Linked DNA regions of Notamacropus eugenii. The protein of the gene in region 1 interacts with the protein of each later gene in a biochemical or structural test. Links are inferred from orthologs where the notes say so. Each region holds a gene or a part of one and is shown in the gene's direction. Other genes may lie near its edges.

Evidence for each region.
Region 2: the proteins of HSPG2 (region 1) and FBLN2 form a complex in vitro, tested with the Homo sapiens proteins (2 studies listed by BioGRID). The link is inferred for Notamacropus eugenii from reciprocal best matches to the Homo sapiens genes HSPG2 and FBLN2.

Annotation. Positions count from the first base shown.
Region 1 is NC_092876.1:62,012,653-62,021,211, reverse strand, and holds the start of HSPG2 (basement membrane-specific heparan sulfate proteoglycan core protein), read left to right. Parts: upstream 1-4,982; 5' UTR 4,983-5,044; coding exon 5,045-5,116; intron 5,117-8,559. UniProt on the Homo sapiens protein: Integral component of basement membranes. Component of the glomerular basement membrane (GBM), responsible for the fixed negative electrostatic membrane charge, and which provides a barrier which is both size- and charge-selective.
Region 2 is NC_092874.1:423,729,578-423,738,581, reverse strand, and holds the start of FBLN2 (fibulin-2), read left to right. Parts: upstream 1-5,340; 5' UTR 5,341-5,585; intron 5,586-6,053; 5' UTR 6,054-6,218; intron 6,219-9,004. UniProt on the Homo sapiens protein: Its binding to fibronectin and some other ligands is calcium dependent. May act as an adapter that mediates the interaction between FBN1 and ELN.

The DNA of each region.
Region 1 (8,559 bases):
AACAAGTGAGTGAGAAGAGACAGGATGATGCAGATGAGAATTTTAAAAATAACTTTTTATTCTTTTGTTTTACAAATAGTTTGTACGTATTAAGAATCGTTGGTGTTCCTGGTGTTGCTGTCCATTAGCCTCGTTGTGTTCGATTCTCCCTGACCCCATTTGGGGTTTTCTTGGCAGAGATACTAGAGTGGTTTGTCATTTCCCTCTCCAGTCCATTCTACAGATGAGGAAACTGAGGCTAACAGGGTGAAGTGACTTGCCCAGGTTAACCCAGCTAGTAAGTTTCTGAGACCAGATTGAACTCAAGGAGATGAATCTCCCTAACTCCAGGCCCTGTGCTCTATCCATGGCAACATTTAGCTGCCTCAAGCATCTGTTAAGGACCTACTATGTGCCAAGCATCATGATAGGTACTTTAAAAATTTTATTTCATTTGATCCTTACAACAACCCCAGAAGGTAAGTGCTATTATTATCCCCATTTTACAGTTGAGGAAAATGAGGCAGGTAAAGAAAAAATAAATAAACTGAGGCCCTAAGGAGGAGAAGAGGAATTGCCCTAGATTGCAAAGGAAATTGGTTTCAGAACTAGAGACTATCCCTCAGGCCTTATATGGGGACTATAAAATTGGAAGTTGGTGGCAACGTCCCAAACTGTGCACAGGCTGAATGTTGGAGTCAATCCCAGGCCAGCCTTCATTGGGCAGGAGCAGCGATAGGCAAGTTACGTGTTGTGCTCTGGCTGGTACAACCATGTTTGGTGTACTGCCTGACATGGGGCCTCATCTCTCCCATCAAGGCAGGAACTTCTCAGGAACAACTGGACAATGAGGGGAACTCCAAGGCTTGTGAAGTGGGACATTCCAAAAAACTTGCTCCACCGCCTTCAAGGTCAATTACAGCATCTTGGATCTTGACCCAGTCACCAGTTCTGTTTTTCCCTTTTGGGACTTGCTGACAACAATGAGGCCAATTCACTAAAAAAAAAAAGTTTACACAAATTCTTTCAGCTCTTTAGTAGGACTTGGCTCATCATCTCTCGTTTTAAAGACATATCCAAAGTCATAGAGCCAACATCCCATCCTACGTCTCCTAACTCGTGGCTTAATATTCTTCTAGAATCCTGTTGTCTATCTCCCTTTCTCCTATTATTACCCAGGAATTCTGCCCTCCCTACATATACGCCCTTAGATCCATGACCATTCATGGGCCTCAGGCTAGCTTTAGCGCTCAGTCAGTATTTCTTTAAAAGAAAGAAAATATTTAAACATTTGCTTTAAAAAAATGACAATTAAGAAAAAAAATCAAAAAGAAGGGTATTGGATTTGATGATTAGGAAATTACAAATAATTCTTTAGGATGAATTTTTTAAATTTAAAAATTCTTAATAATAAACATACCAGTAAAATGAAATCTTTCTGAAGGGAAGAAAACATATAGGTAGAAACAAAAAGTCCACGTAGGTAGATGCTGAAAAATCATTGAGCAAAATGTGTATCTGTTTACATCAAGGAACTGTAATCTTTACTGGGAGGTCAGATGGTTAGATAGTTGAAGAGGGGAGTCTGGGGACTGAAGTGATAGTTAGGATCTTATCTAGCCCAGGTCCAGGGGAGTATATCTAAAACCTGTCATTGGGGTCCTAGGACCCTGACAAAAATAAGAGTTAGCATTTACCAGGGGCACTGACAAATATAACCTCATTTGATCCTCACAACAACTCTTAGAGGTAGGTGCTATTATTAGCTCCATTTTACAGATGCGGAAACTGAGGCAGACCGCCATCAAGTGATTTGCCCAAGGTCACACATCTAGTAAGCATCTGAGGCCAAATCTGAACTCAGGTCTTTTCGACTCTATTTACTTTGTCACCTACAAAGGTACACCCCAATGGTATAAAAAAAGGGTTTGACCAGTAATGTCAAAAACATTCACTGGAGCTATTTCTACTGTATCATGTTAGAATCACTAATGGAGGAATTCTAGGGGCACTCTGGAAAGAGGTAGGCATGGAATATTTGGGGGAGGTCCTTCCTGGGAGCCTCCAAAACTCTGTAAAAGCCCCATAAAGAGCACCCCAGCAGCCAATCGAAAAGGATGACCAACTCTCCCAGGTCTCATTTCAGCTTCCTGTTATCTCTTACCCTGCTTGGATATCTTCTTTCTCTTCTCTCCTCTTCCCCTCTTCCTCCCTCCCAGTGGTCCAGGAAGCTGGGAGCTTGTTATCTCCATAGCTCTAGAGAGCATTAGGTCAATATTTCTGGGTTATCTGTATCAACTTGAGTCTACTTGTATCTGTGTCTCTTCCCCAGCCCTGGGGCTGAATATCCTGCTCACGATGGAGAACCTACTCTTTTTTTCTGTCTGTTGAGCTTTAGTTTCCTCATTTATAAAATGAGGGTGTTGAACTGAAAGATCTCTAAAGGTTCTTTCCATGGCTACATCTATTAGATTCTGTTTTTTGAGTCTGGGCCCACAGATGGCAGTCTCCCTGAAGACAGGGGCTGTGGCATTGGCATCTCCCTCAGCCCGGTGACTCTCCAAGCAAGGACAGAGCTGTTGTCCCTCACCCCTATGCCCAGAATGGGTGTAGGCAGGGCTTATCTTCCTTCTCAGGCTTGGGGCTCCTAATGGGCAGGGTCTGGCCTCTTCCTCTGATTGGAGGTTCCCCAAAGGCAAGAATTGTGTCTTCTCCAGATGACTGGGAACTTTAAGAGTAGGAATCTGGACTTTTCCTCTGACTTTTCCCACAGGGTCCAGCCAAGGACCCCACTGAAATGATGCTTTTTAAATATCAATATCTGAGGGACTTGAGTGGCCATATGAACATAACTGATAAGAGCAGAGGGCTGGCTTGGGCAGGGTGCAGAAACTGGTCTATTGCGCTGTCATTCAGAGTGAGGTAGGTTATTCTTTCCTGGCAGGCACTGAGATGTCCAAGCTTTCTCCCTGACCCTGACTTTGCCCTAAATGTCCCTTCTCACTGGCCCTGGGGTGGGAAGTGAGAACCCTTCCAATTGCTATGGAATCTGGTCCTTTAAGGCTACCCTGGAGCTAGGGTGGAGATAGGGGGAGTCTTCGGTGTCAACTGTAAAAGCTGAAATGTCCCCTCAAGGGCAAGGAGGTAGAGTGGAATATATAGTAGGAGTATTGACTTGGGAGTCAGGGAACATAGCTTCCAATCTTAGCTTTAATTCTTATTATCTGTGTGGTTTGGGGTATGTTACTTAATTTTGGTTGGCCTCAACTTTCTTACCTGCGAAATGGGAAATGAATTTGATTGCTTCAGAAGTCTATCAAAGAATTTAGTTTGAGGTTGGGGGAGGGGGGATGTGGGGCACTGGTTACTACTTTGAGAATGAGGTGAACCAAAATCAAGGAAAGTCATTGGTGGCCACAACGTGTCTCATGTGGGCCTTCTTAGGAGGCTGGGAGATAGGAGAGGAGGCATCCCAGTCCTGGACTCATTGGGCTCACAGGCTTGGAATGCCTTAGACCATGTCACACCCAGATGGGCACTTCCCCTGGGTCACTGCCCGCCCGTCTGGCTGGAGAGCCAGCCTGGAGCCTAAGGAAACCTAGCAACTCTCTGTTGAAACAATGGAAAACTTCATTTTTCTCTCCCTCCACCCCACCATTTCATTACTCAAAAGGTTTCTCTCAAGGTTTAAAAAAAAAAAAAAAGCAAACCCCCACCCAAAAAAATGTTTTCTTTCTGCCACTGAGCCTGGTGCCCTGGAAAATTTCAGGCGGAAAGGGGAATTTCAGAGTGAGTCCAAACTGGAAAGAAGAGCTGTGCCTGTTTGAAGTCATACATCTAAGAATTTCTTGGGAAATTCACAGGAACTGTGGACCAATTGTGTTCTGTCTCTGTGTGTGATTTGTATGATTGGTGTGTGTGTCTGGGATCATAGAATTAGAACCAACAGGCCCGGAGATCACATAGTCCAATCTCACTTTATGGAAAAGGAAGAGGTTGAAGTAATGGGAGGGTCAGGGAAGGCTTCCTGGAGGAGGCGACATTTTGCATTCAACTTTAGGGAGAATTCAACAGGGCTCTGATTTGTGTGAATGACTGGGTGAGCTGAGGAGCTCTTTCTTCTTTCTCTCTGTGAGGTCACCAGGAAAGGGATAGGAACTCCTGCCTTAGACAGTTTTGCACCTCAATATGAGTCCTTAGGACCATAGATTTAGACCTGGAAAGGGCCTCAGAGGCCATCTGGTTTAAACTCTTCATTTTACAGAAGAGGAAACTGAGGCATAAAGAGTTTAAGAGAATTTAGGTTGTCCAGATAGTAAGCTATACTAACAGGCAGGATCTGAATCCAGGTCCTGTGACTCCAAAGCCCAAGCGTTCTTTGGAGAGGATCAGGAGTCCCAACGTGTAGACTAGCCTTGATTCGTGTTTCTAAGTTACTGTGTGAGGTGCCAATTTGTTCAAGGGTTCAGGAAGTATTTTCGCCAGCGGGATGGGGGGACGAGGATCTTGGAGCATTTCAAGTCCAATCCCTCGTTTTTCGTAGAGGGAGCTAAGGCCCCGAGAAGTTACGCGACTTGTCCAAGGTCTCACAGCAAGAACCCCATCGAAAGCGCTTTCCTCCAGCCCTCGCTGCGGGCTGGGTCTGGTTTTCACCCTCTCCCTGCACCCCGCTCTGCTCCTCGCCTTCGGGGCAGGTTTGCGCGAGCCGATCCGGGACCACGGCCCTCCCCTCCACAGTTAGCTCCGTCAGTCCTCCCGGGCCTCTCCAGGTCTCCCCGCGCCCCCGCACCCCGCCCCTGGTCCCATCCCGGACTCCAGGCCGGGTTTGGCGGGGAGCCGGCCCTGGGCCGCTGCCCCGCTGGGGAGGCGGGGGGGGATCGGGGGCCCAGACAAAGGGCCAAGGTGGCTGCGCGGCCCGGGCTCCAGCCTCCTGGGCCGGGCCGGAGGCGGGGCCGGGCCGGAGGCGGGGCCGGCCCTGGGAGGCGGGGGCTGGGAGTGGGGGGCAGAGAGCCGGGGCGCCGCGCCGAGCCCTAGCCCAGCCGAGCCGAGCGAGCGGGCCGCAGACATGGGGCCGCGGGCGGTGCGGACGGGGCGGCTGCTGCCGCCGCTGCTGCTGCTGCTGGGTCCTCTCCTCAGCGTGAGTCCGCCCCTGCCATCCCTCCCCACCCTCCATTCCTTTCTCCTGTCCTCACCCCTCGGCTTCTCCGGCCACTTTGGTAACTTTGCGTGCCCGGAGGGCAAGTTGGCTCCGCGGCCAGCGGGCTGGGGCTGCCCGGGGGACTGGGAGGGACGGGCTGGGGATCGGGGATGGGGGCTCAAGTCGGCCGGTCGGCCGCGCGCCTGCCTCGGCACCTTTGCCCTGCGCCTTCCCCCCGGGGCATATGTCCTCGAGGGCCCCGCGATGCCCCTGGACCTCCTGGGCCACAGAGGGCTGGGTTCGGAGAGGGCACGGGGGCTGAGGAGAGAGGGAGAGGCCGGAGCCCGAGTCCTCCAAGAACTCGAGAAACTTTGAGCGCCCAGAGAAAAGTTGGCTTTTCGGTAGATCAACCCCATAGGCTGGGGTCCCTCGGGCACAGGGCAAGGCTGGGTGCACCACCACCCCCTCTGGCCCCAGGAAACCAGACCCTAAAGGGGAAGGGCTGTCCAGTGGAGAAGTCCAGTTAGGAAATGAGAGGCCCAAGCTCCCCAGTCCATGCCGCCCTTGGAGACAGTAGGAATCTGGCTACCCTTGGGTGACCTGCCTGTGCCACGCACGGGGCCAGCCTCAGGGGAGTGGAGAGGGGAGAGAATCGAGAGAGAATGGGCGGGGTCAGTCCCCACGCGGGGAGAGTGGGCGGGATCGTCACCTGTAGTGGGGAGAGTAGTTGGGGTCAGCGTCCCGGGTGGGAGGCCGGACCCTCTATGGGACCTCGTGTATGACGTGGAGGGGCTAAGCATTTGCCTCCGACGAAGAGAATAGACAGGTGGGGGCATTTATGGGGGAGTGCAAGGAGAAGATCTCTCCCCCTGGGCCCATCACTTCACCTCTGCCTCAGTTTACTCAATGATTTCCAAGGTATTGGGAAAATGGCTGGGGACCACCCATATTCTCCTAGCTTCTTTTGCTCTATAGACTGAGCCAGGATGACCCTAGGGATTCTTTTTTCGGGGAATGAGGTCTGTGGGAGCCTTAAGGCTACATATTTGGAAACAAGACTAGCTCAAACTGGCTTTTGTGGCCCTTTCCTCAGTGGTATACACTGAAGGTGTTGGATTAGATCCCTGTGGTCCTTTCCCTCATGTGGTCCCTTTACATTCTATGATGCCTCTGTTAAAGAGGCCTGGGACAGGGTGTGGGGTGGGGACTTGCCCACAGTAAGCTCTTCCATTCCTGGCTCCTGACTTTGGTGAGCCAGGGCCCTAGGGAGGGCCCTGGGCAGGCACTCTGCTGTGAAGGGCCCCAGAGAACAGCTGCTTTTCCATTAATAAGTATATATTTGACTCATCCAATCTGACCATGCCCTTAAGGACCTTACACCTCAGAACAAGAAACTAACTAACCCTGGACAAGATCATTCACTAGGGGACTGATCCCAGGTAGTTAGACTTGAAACTACACTTAACGACCTCAAACTGCCTCAGCCTCTTATTTTACCGATGGGCAAATTCAGGCCCAGAAAGGTTGAAGTCAGAGAGGGAAATCACTGTCATGGGACTTGAAAGAGATAGGAAAAAAAAAAATCTCCTGAAATCTCAACAGATAGCTAAATAACTTTAACGTATGTTTGTGTCCTGCTTGGACGTTGCCTAGGAAATTTCCTCAAAACATTCCTTTAAGGTAGATCGTCTGCGCATTCATAAGATTATAGCCCTAGTGCTGGAAGGTACCTTAGATACTTTTTAAGCCCATCCTCCCTCATTTTACAGATGTGAAAACCAAGATGTGGCTTGCCCAGGTTCACACAGCTGGGATCTGAGGCAGGAGGCAATCTATCTTCCTGGCTCGGGTGCTCTAACCATTACGCCTTGCTGCCTTGTGCCTATCTTGGTGATACTAATTGTACTGGATTTGGAGGAGGAGACCCTAAAGCCACTTTAGCTCTCTAGGGCTCACGCCTCCTCATCTGTAAAATGAACCAAAATGATGGGGCAGCCTCAGACCAGTGGTATCAAAATCAAATAGAGATCCCTGCAGGCTGCAGACTGACTCAGAAAGCCACAGTTTCACTTTATCTGTTTCGTGGTTTTATTTATTTTGTCAAACATATCCCAGTTCCATTTTAATGCACTCGTTCTGACACCTCTGGACCAGAAGAGGTAGCAGGTTCAGGCTGGACATCCCTCCCCTTGGACCAACTCCACTGAAATTTCTTCCTCTGATTCCTCAACCCAGTGAGGAGGTGAACCTGTGTTCTAGAAGGTTCTACAGGCTCTAAGGAGAGCATAAGTTCTGCCAGGGTTGATGATCATGGAAAGGCCCAGACTGGTAGTGTGGCTGTCAGTGGAGGACCAGCCTAGCTGAGTGTGTATGGAGAGGTCCCTCATCATGTTGGCGCCTGCCTTGATGGATAGATTTTTTTAGTTACAGTTTCTCTTAACCAAGTGCTTAGTATAGAAAAGCCTGTAGTCTGGGTGGGCCCATTTCAGAACCTTGGTGGAAGATCATAGAATTTAAAGCCAAAGGAACCTTAGAGATCCATCTACTCTAATCTCTTTCATTTTACAGATGAGGAAACTGAGGCTTACCTAGAATGAGGGAATAACTTGCCCAAGGTCACACAGATAGTAAGTGGCAAAATTAGGCTTCAAGCACAGACCCTCTGACTGCAAAATCTGCTGCTTTTAATAGACCTAGACTCTTAAATTTTTCCTCCTCTGCCAGGATAGTGCCCTGAGGAGCTGCTGGCACATTCCCCAGCTCCAGAGCCCTAACTCCAGCTACTGATTCTCTGGACACAGGAGCCCTTGGTCCCATTGATAGGAAAAAAGAAGGGAGTGTCTCTAATCCCAAAGCCTGGAAAGTAGTTGGTGGTGAGAGGCCTAGAGAACTGGAAAGAACTCCCCGGGAAGAGGGGAGGCTGGGGCGGGGTCAGTGGGCAGGGAGTTGGTGGCCCGAGGTTGGGTGGGTGGAATCTGGGGAGATGGGCCAGGCCTGTTACACTGAGCCATGCATCCCGCCTTTATACTCTCTCATCCAGCTCTGGAGCTCTCCTGGCCACAAGCAAGATTTTTCTAACCCAGCAAATGTTTACCTAGTGACTGACTCTATCTCCTAGTGACTTCATCCCCTTCCCACCATTGGTAGTCTCACCTCAGCTGGGCCTTAGTCACTCTGTAACTACCCCTTCTCCCAGCAGCCTCGTGGCAGACCCCTTATCCTGCTAGATCTCACTAGACTGGCCATGTCCGCCCTCCCCCCAACCTGGCTCCCTGGGGTGTAGACCTCCCCCCCACCCAGGCTGGAGAGCTTGGTTTGAACCAGACCTACTCTTACTAGTTGGATGACTCATGTCACTTCTCTGAGACTGTAAAATGGGAATGTAAAAATGCTTAGACTGCCTTCTTCAGTAATCCAACCTCTGCCATTGATATGGGAATTAC
Region 2 (9,004 bases), on another chromosome or scaffold:
CCACTGGAGATTCTGCCCCTAAGGTGTCCTCATCCCAGAGTTGCACCACACTGCATGGCCAAGGCTGGGCTGGGCTCCCCTCCACGTCTGGTGCAATAGCCATTTTCCATGGGCCTTTCAGGTCACCCTGGGCTGGTAATCTCCTCCACTCTGTTGCTCTCCACTTCTGCTGCTCCAAAATTTGTTGAGAGTCCCTCTCTACAGGTATTTTATGGGCTGTGTGGGGAGACCCTGTGTATGTGTGTCTTTCTACTCTACCATCTTGGCTCTGCCCTGTAAGTTTATTTTTTAAAAACATCTTGATAACTATATTTTCAATATAATGGATTTCCTTTGTGATCCTACATATGCTATTTTATGCACTTAAAAAGATTATTTGCAGAAGGGGTTCCAATGCTTCACCAGACTGCCAGAGAAAACCATGACACACACACACACACACACACATACACACACTCACACATACACACAGACACAGACACACATACACATGCACATGCACACACACAAAGGTTAAAAATCCCCGGACAAGAAGGTTTTTAAGGTCCCTTCTAGCTCAAACATTTTATAAAATATGGGATTATAGACTCAGTAAAGTGGGCAAACAACTACTAGTGAAGATGTTTTTTTTTTTAACCCTGAGAAATTCAGGTTGAGTTAAGAATGGATAAATCAGCACCATTGAGGAATTTACCTGAGTCATCCATCTTCCCCATCTCTGCTTTAGGTGCCTGGGAAGCTTTTTGCCTTGGACTAAATATGCTTATTGGCTCACTTTGCTATTTTCCATCATTTTGGTCTGTTATAAATTAGAAGATTATCATCTGACTGGTTTCCATCTCTTAAAGCTTTATTTTCAGTGTTATCAATATACAGGGGGAAGAGTTCTCCCTGCCTTCTCATTTCTGATAAATCCAAAGGCTTAGGAAGGGGAATCTTTACAGTTTAGAAGGGAGGAGGGGACACCATTCATCACCATGATTCAACATGAGACTGGGGAGATCAAGATATCCTCTTGCAGGTATAGCCCAGGAGACCACAGAGCAGGGCTTAATCCTTGCCAAATGATTATTTTCTTCCAATGAAATCAGTCTTAGGGTTAGAAACGACCTTGGAAGTCATTTAGTTCAATCTATACCTGAATTTTCCACTCGGATTCCTTCGTATTCCCTACAAAAAGAATGTGGAACTTTGTGTCAGTAACATCTGGATTTAAATGCTGCCTCTGGTACTCACTAGCTATGTAATCACAGAAGGGGGGAAGTCAAAGGGAAAATCCAAAAAGAGATAGAAGCTACAAAGAGGCAAATTTAGGGAGAAAAATAACTCCCTAAGCATTAGAGCTTTCCCAAAATAGAATGTGCTGTCTTCAAAAGTAGTGGCTACTCCTATGTTGAAGGGTTTCAATTAGAGGCTAATCCCTTGTTGAGTATGATATGGGCTGGACTAGATGCCCCCTTAGACATTGACAGTCCATCATTCTGGACTTCCCCCACATTTCTGCAGAGAAGAGAATCACAGGTTCTTAGAGATGTATGTAGGAAGACTTTGGGATCCTCTTATCCATGTCCAGATTTCAAAGATGAGGAGAGTGGACTGAGATAGATTAATTGACTTGCCCTAAGATATCCAAGGAGTAAGCAATAGAGCCAGGCTAAGACGTCAGGTCTCCTAATTCTCCAAATAGTCCTCTTTCCCATCCCTCAGGGTTACCTCCAGCACATAAAGCCCATTGGACAGACAATCATCCACGTCTAGGCTCTTTCTACAAAGAGACACAGGATTGGTCTTTGCTTTTGAAACATGACCTGATGCATGAACTATGGGAGACACCTAGTTCCATCCTTAAGAAAAAATGCCTCTCCTTACCCCAAGTCTTTCTAACATCTTTTGAATGGAGTTAGACATTCCTTCCTCCCAGGTCCAAGCTCTGGCAGGGGGAATCATTACGATGGAAATAACATTGACACAGGAGTCAGATAGTCATAGGATCCTAGAAAATAACTGAAAGAGACCTGGTGCAACTCCTTTATTTTACTGATGGGGAAACAGAGTGGTAAAGTGACTTATCTGAAGTCATACAGGTAGTAAGTAATGGGGCTGGGATATGAATCTAGTCCTCAGGCTCCAAGTCTAATATTCTCTGTTGGATTGTCAACTTTGACACTTTTGAGTTGGGCAATTTTCAGCAAGTTATTTCTCTTTGTTTCACAGTTTTCTCATTATTTTTCCCCTTTAGTTTCTTTCTAGGTGCTATATTTTGCAAAACTTCTGCTTGCTAGAGTGCTAAGTCCTCAAGAAGAGACCTGAGCACTACTGCCCCCACTTTTTAAGCAAAGCCACTAGGCCTGGAGACTAGAGGTAGTGAAGTATCATGGACCAGGAATCAAGAGAAAGCTGGAATCTACTCTTGGCTTTGTGTTGAATAGTTAGTTATGTGACTTTTGGCAAGTCATCTTGTGTTCCTGGGTCATTTTTTTTATCTATAAAATGAAAGTGGAAAGTGTTGGACTAGGCAGACTGTAAGCTTTCTTTCTGTTGCAAATTCAGTGATTCTAAAGCATCTGTTGCTTCCTAATTTTCTAGCTATCAGCCATGACGGTACAGATGAAATCTGCCTGCGACTCTCAGTGCTAAGGGCCCAGAGGAACTATTTCCTCCTTTCTGATCCCAGCAGGAGCTGCAGTCCAGGAACATTTCTAAAAGTGGTCCATTGGACAAAACAGGAAGATGATAAATGTTGGAGAAGATGTGGGAGAGTTGGAACACTAATTCATTGTTGGTGAAGCTGTGAGTTGATCCAACCATTCTGAAGAGCAATTTGGAACTATGCCCAAAGGGCTACAAAAATATGCATATCTTTGGACCCAGTAGTATTGCTTCTAGGACTATATCCCCAAGAGATCACAAAAATGGGAAAGGGTCCCACATGTACAAAAATTTTTCTAGCATCCCTCTTTATGGTGGCCAAAAACTGAAAATCAAGGGGATGCCCATCAATTGGGGAATGGCTGAACAAGTTGTGGTATATGAATGTAATGGAATACTATTGTGCTATAAGAAATGATGAACAGGAAGACTTCAGAGAGGCCTGGAAAGACTTATATGATCTGATGCTGAGTGAAAGGAGCAGAGCCAGGAGAACTTTGTACACAGCAACAACCATAGTGTTTGAGGATTTTTTTCTGGTAGACTTAGAACTTCATTGCAATGCAAGTACTTAAAAAATTCCCAATGACCTTTTAAGGCAAAATGTCTTCCGCATCCAGAGAAAGAACTATGGAATTCAATCACAGAATATAGCAGATGATTTTCTTTTCTATTACGTTTTGATTTGTTATATGATTTCTCCCATTCATTTTAATTCTTCTATACAACATGACTATGTTGAAAATTTATTTAATAAGAATGTATGTGTAGAACCTATATACCATCTCAGAGAGGTAGAGGGGAGAAAGGGAAAAAAAAATCTAAGTTATATGGTAGTGATTGTGGAAGACTGAAAATAAATTTAATTAATTAATTAATTAAAGTGGTCCATTGGAACTGTTGTTTTGTTCTCTACTAACTGGACCCTGGCCCAGTCTATACAAGTCAAAGCCCATCACTTCTTAGATGTGGCCTTCACTTCCTTCTGGCTTAGCACAAGTACTTCGGAGCAAAAAGGACTAGGAAACAGGTCCTTTAACCCCTAGGTTCATAGATTTAGAGCTGGAAAAGAGGTCTTTACCCAGTCATTCATTCATTATTCGTTAGTATAACTCAATCAACAATCATTTATTGGCACTAAGTGAGCAGCTAGGTGGATAGAGCGCCTGTCTAAGTTCAAATCTAGCCTCAGATACTTACTAGCTGTGGGATCCTGACCTTAACCCTCATTAATGCCTCAGTTTCCTCATCTTTAAAATGACTAAATGATGTCTAAGGTTATCTATTTCTCAATATATGATCCTAAATGTCAGAGGCCGTATTCAAAATTAGATTTTCCAGCCTCTGAGTTCAGTGTGCTCTCCATCATGAGTAATGAGACATCACACCATGCAAAGTGAGGCTTGTTTTCTAAGTCCCCCTACTCCCTAAAGGTTGAAGTCCTCAGGAAACTAGAAGGCTTTGTATCCCAAGGAATCTGATTCCTGAAGCTTTATGGCTCTTCTTCCTCTCCTTTCTTTATTTGGTTCCTTTAAAATGTGACATCTGTTTGTCATCCTCATCACCACCACCTTCTCCCCCTAACCACAGACTAGGAAAGGAGTTATAGAAAGGAAATCCTGGTGTGGAAAGGGGTCTAAAGCTGATTTTCTGTGAATGAAATCCCAGGCCTCTGTGGGGTGCCATCATTCAGAGGACACAATTTTCCCCTTTCCCACATCATACCACCCTAGGGTCAGCTTTCTGTTAAGAAATGTTTACCTTAGCTGGGAGGTAATTGGGCTCCTTTTTCAATGCTGTTTGTTTTGAAGGACAAGGTGGGCCTCAAGAGTTAGGAAAGAGAGGAGAGGGGAACAACCCCAGATAGTGAGAGAGAAGCCGTGTTCTAACTTTTAAGGGTCTCCTCCTTTTGTTGATGAGTGGTTTTTTTCAGCTGTGTCTGATTCATGTGACCCCTCCCCCATTTGGGGTTTTCTTGGCAAAGATCTTAGAGTGATTTGCCATTTCTTTCTCTAGCTCATTTTACAGATGAGGAAACTGAGGCAGAGTTTGTGATTTGCCCAGTGTCCCACAGATAGTAAGTTTCTGAGGTGGAATTTGAAAGGAGATCCTCCTGACTCCAGGCCAGTGCTCTATCCACAGTGCTCTATCCTAGGGTCTCCTAGCTAAAGTACATTTTCTTACAGCTCATCCATGTGGCTTAGGCTTGTGGAGTCTCCCATCTCAGGGAGCACATTGTTTCGGGAGGTAGGAGTTTTATACATTCCTCATCCCTCCTGAAGACACAGGTTCCTGCTTGCTCGGTTCTCTTGTTCTCCAGTCACCAGCCTTTTCACATCAGCTCGTTTTTCACCACCAGAGGAATTAGAGTTTTGAGCCAGAAGCCTGCTGGCATCACGAAGAATTTGTGCCTAGGTGCCCAGGTACCTGACCTCTTCCCAGACCCTAGTTAAACAAGTAGGGGAGGGTCCCCGGTGGGCTAGGAGGGGCTGAGTTGGCCTACTCCAACCCAGTTCACAGAGCTTTGGGAGGAGGTGAGTCACGGGTACCCGTGGCCTCATCCTCTTTGGCCTCTAAGTGATTTTCTCTTCGTGGTTCACAGTCAAACTTTTGTTCTTCTTGGCTTGGCGTTCCTGTTTAATTCAGACCAGGATGGAGCGCAGTATTTTTACACAAATCTGACAGCTCCGGGGAATGACCGGCAGTGGCCGGGGAGAAGCCCGCTAGCTCTTGAAGTGAAGGGCCCTCAGACACAAATGACTGTCCGCTCTGCTGGGAGATTCCTCCTTTTGTGCCCTCTCCTTTTCTCTTCCTGCTGATGTGGGGGAGGGGGGATCAGGGTGACCGGGTCAAGAGAAGGGATTCCCTCCTCTCTTAGGGAGAAAGCGGGGAAGGCAGAGGAAAGGATTCTACGCCTGGAGAGACCCCAGTGAGAGGTAAGGGGGATGATCAAGCCGGAGGTGAAGGCTAGGGAGGTGACGGCAGTCTCGTACCCAGATTCCCTGCCCTGCGCGTCCCTTTTTGTCTCACTTCTCCAAACTCAGAACCCAAGAAAGTCTCGAGGGTGGGGAGGGCGCACCAGTGCAGCTGCCCCCGTCGGGGAGAGGGGGATGGCTTGGCACCGAAAGGTCTCGAGGGGGCCTCCAGACCTCCCCGCCAAGCCGGCGGGTGAGCCGGATGGGGGAGGGGACGCCCCAAGGGGCGAGGTGACTGCCTGGCCCCAGAGCAGGGGGAGGGGGCGGCGTAAGGAGCGCGGGGGGTGGGGGAGCAGGTTCGGCCAGCCAGTCGGGCGGCAGCCTGAAAAACTTTTTTGCTCTTGGTCCCTCCCCCTCTGCCCGGCTCCCCGAGCGCCCCCTCCCCTCCCTTCCCTTTCCTTTTCTTCCCCTCCCTCCTGCTCTGCTCAGCCTCACACGCCGGGCCGGGACCGCGAGCAGCGAGCAGTCCATCACGGTCCAGCCCAGCAGAGCCCGGCTCCCGGCCTCCGGCCCCCCGCCCCCCGGCTCCCCCTGCCCCGCCGGCCGGGCTTGGAGTGCCCTGACCCGCGGACCGGAGTGAAGTTGGGGTGCGCGGTGAGTACGAGGCGCTGTGCGCCCTGCAGCTGGAGACCCTCTGGAGGCGCCCTTTCCTCCCGCAGTCCGCCCTGCCACCTCCATCCCGGCTCTCTCCCGAGCCGCGGAAGGCTGAGGCACGCTCCCCCTCCCTACAGTTTGGGAAAGGAATTCCGGGGCACCCCCACCCCAGCTTTCTCTGCTTCGATCGCTCTAGACGCGGGCTTCTCCTTTCCGTTATGCCCAACTGGTCCGGATGCACCAGCCCCAGGTGCCAGCCCTCAATCCTGCCCCCTCTGCCTGCTCCTCTGCCTCCGACTCTGAGCCCGGGACGCCTGCCTGGCAGGGGGACCCCGGGAACTGCTTCACTCTACTCCAAAGTTCGTGAGTTCTGGCCACCAGAGAAGAGAGTTGATTTATTTTCAATCTACTCATTTTTTTTTCACACGAGAGTGGCAGGATGTCCATCACTCACACACACACACACATACAGACAGACACAGACAGACGCACACCCCCTTTTCTCTCCAGATGCTGCTCCCAAATGTTACTTTTATGGAAAGCAATGTTCTGGGTGGGGACGGCCCCCAGAGCCAACCGCTTGTGGGTTCGTGGGTGTTTGTGGCTCAGGGCCCACTGAGAGCTGGATGTGGTTGGGAATTTCTCTTGGCAGAGGGGGTTGGTTTTATTACAACTGCTCTCCAAACTGTGCTGGCTTCTTTGCCTGGGGTGTGAGCCTTATTCTAGTTAAGAAAAAGAATTAACGGGTGGGGGTGGAGTAATAGGGAGGGGTGCAGAGAAAGAAATATTGTCCGAGACTTCTGCGAAGCCTGTTGCTCTGAGGATACCCAATTCTAGTGTCCTTTCTCATAGGTTAAGTCAATATGAATCCTGCGTTCTTTGCTTACTTCTCTCTCCCCCTCCCACTTTCCATCCTTCTTTCTCTTCCGAACTTTTCCTTCCCTTTTTAACCTTCCGTTTCCTTTTTTTCTTCATCATCTCCCTTCCTTTCCTCTTCCCCTTTTTTTCTCCTCCCTATCCATATCCAGTCTCCCTCCACTCTCTTGTTCTCCCTGGCCTCTGACCTTTCTCTCTGCCTTTCTCTCTGATCCCTCTTTGGCATCTGGGGGCTGGCAAAAAATGAAAGACAGATTGGGCTCCAGTTAAGATAGATTGTGCCACTTGATTCAGTCTCATCTTCTGTTTAGACTGGGCATCTCCTTTGATCTGGAAACCACACAAGCAGGAGAAAGGTAGGGAATGAAACATGAAATTTCCCTGTACTAGTGATTTCCATTCTTTTCAAACCATCCACAGGCAAGGAGGTGTGGCTATATCCATACACTTAGTGGTCAAGATTTTACAACTTGACAGTTATTATCCCCCTTCCTCATTTTTCTACCTTGGTTCCTGGCTTGAATGTGGCCATGCACATTTGCAATTGACTGCTGTCCAGTAGTGGTGAAAAATGACCCAAGTGGTCTCTGGATATCATAAATGATGGATCTTAGAAACACATGATTCAGTTGAGTGGAGTATTACTTCTGTCCTTGGTTGGAGATGAGGAGTTAGCAAGGTATGGAGTGACTTTAAACAATTGGGAAGCACCTGGGGATTGTCCCATAGATATAGTTCTATAGAAAAAGATTGGTAGAGTTAAAGTCAGGTAACAAATGACTTACCTTGAACTCATCGTTTCTGCTGATAAAAGCAGATGGCTATTTTTTCTTTCTTTCTTTTTTTTCTTTTTGCTGGACAGTTCCCTAGTGAGGTTGGACTTAGCTCCATCTGGGAGAAAAGGAGCAGGGGAGCAGGTTTAAGCAGTGCATTGTGGGTTTCTTGGGGTGACAAACCATGCTAGAGGCCTGTGGAGGCCCGAGCTCTGGGGGCTGGCCATATGCCACACAAACTTGTATTCTGAATGGGATGTGTGGGAGGCAACTGCTGAGCTGTGCAGTGGGAGACTAACTGGGGAAATCTCTGGCTCCAGGCTATCTCACCTCAGAACTGAGTTTCCTCTCATACAGTTGAGTTGGTTCAATGTTTCAAAGAATATTTTTTTTTTGTTTATTTTTTTGTTTGCCTGATGGGGATTTGAAAAATCTTTGCAATTTTTCAATTCAACAAATTGAACGCTCACTGTGTTCCCAACCCTGTCTTTGGTGTTAAAGGGCTTAAGAGAGGAGGGATAGTTTCTACTTTCTGGATCCCATGGTCTAATTAACAGGGAATTATTCAGTTGAATTCAATGAACACCTACTAAGGCACTGTGTTATGAGGAAAATGACACAGTTTCTGTAGCCAGGATGAAACATGCTTAGAGATGATGATGGTTCCATGTAGAACATGGGAAGTTTCTTAAGGGCGGTTCAGCCTCAATGCTGTGGAAACTTGAAGGAAAGTGACATGACTCCTGGCTAGGGAGAATAGAAAAACTCTCTAGAAGAGGTGTCATTTGACCTGGTCTTTGAATAATGATTAGGATCACAGAAACTCAGACCTTTAGTGCTAGAAGGAGCCTCATCAGCTATCAGTTCAACCTATTCACACTGGCAAAAATCTTCCCCACACTAGAACTGATAAGTAGTTTTATGACCTTTGCTTCAAGACCTCCATTGGAGAGGAACTTGATACTTCCTGAAGATTTCAACAGAAGAAACAAAGATAAACTCCTTCTAGCTGTGGTGTAATGGAAGGAGTGTGGGATTTCTAGCCTGAGGACTTGGATGCCAGGTCCACCTCTGCCACTTATTATGAGATCTTGGATAAGAAATGTGCCTCAACTTCCCCATTTACAAATGGGGAGG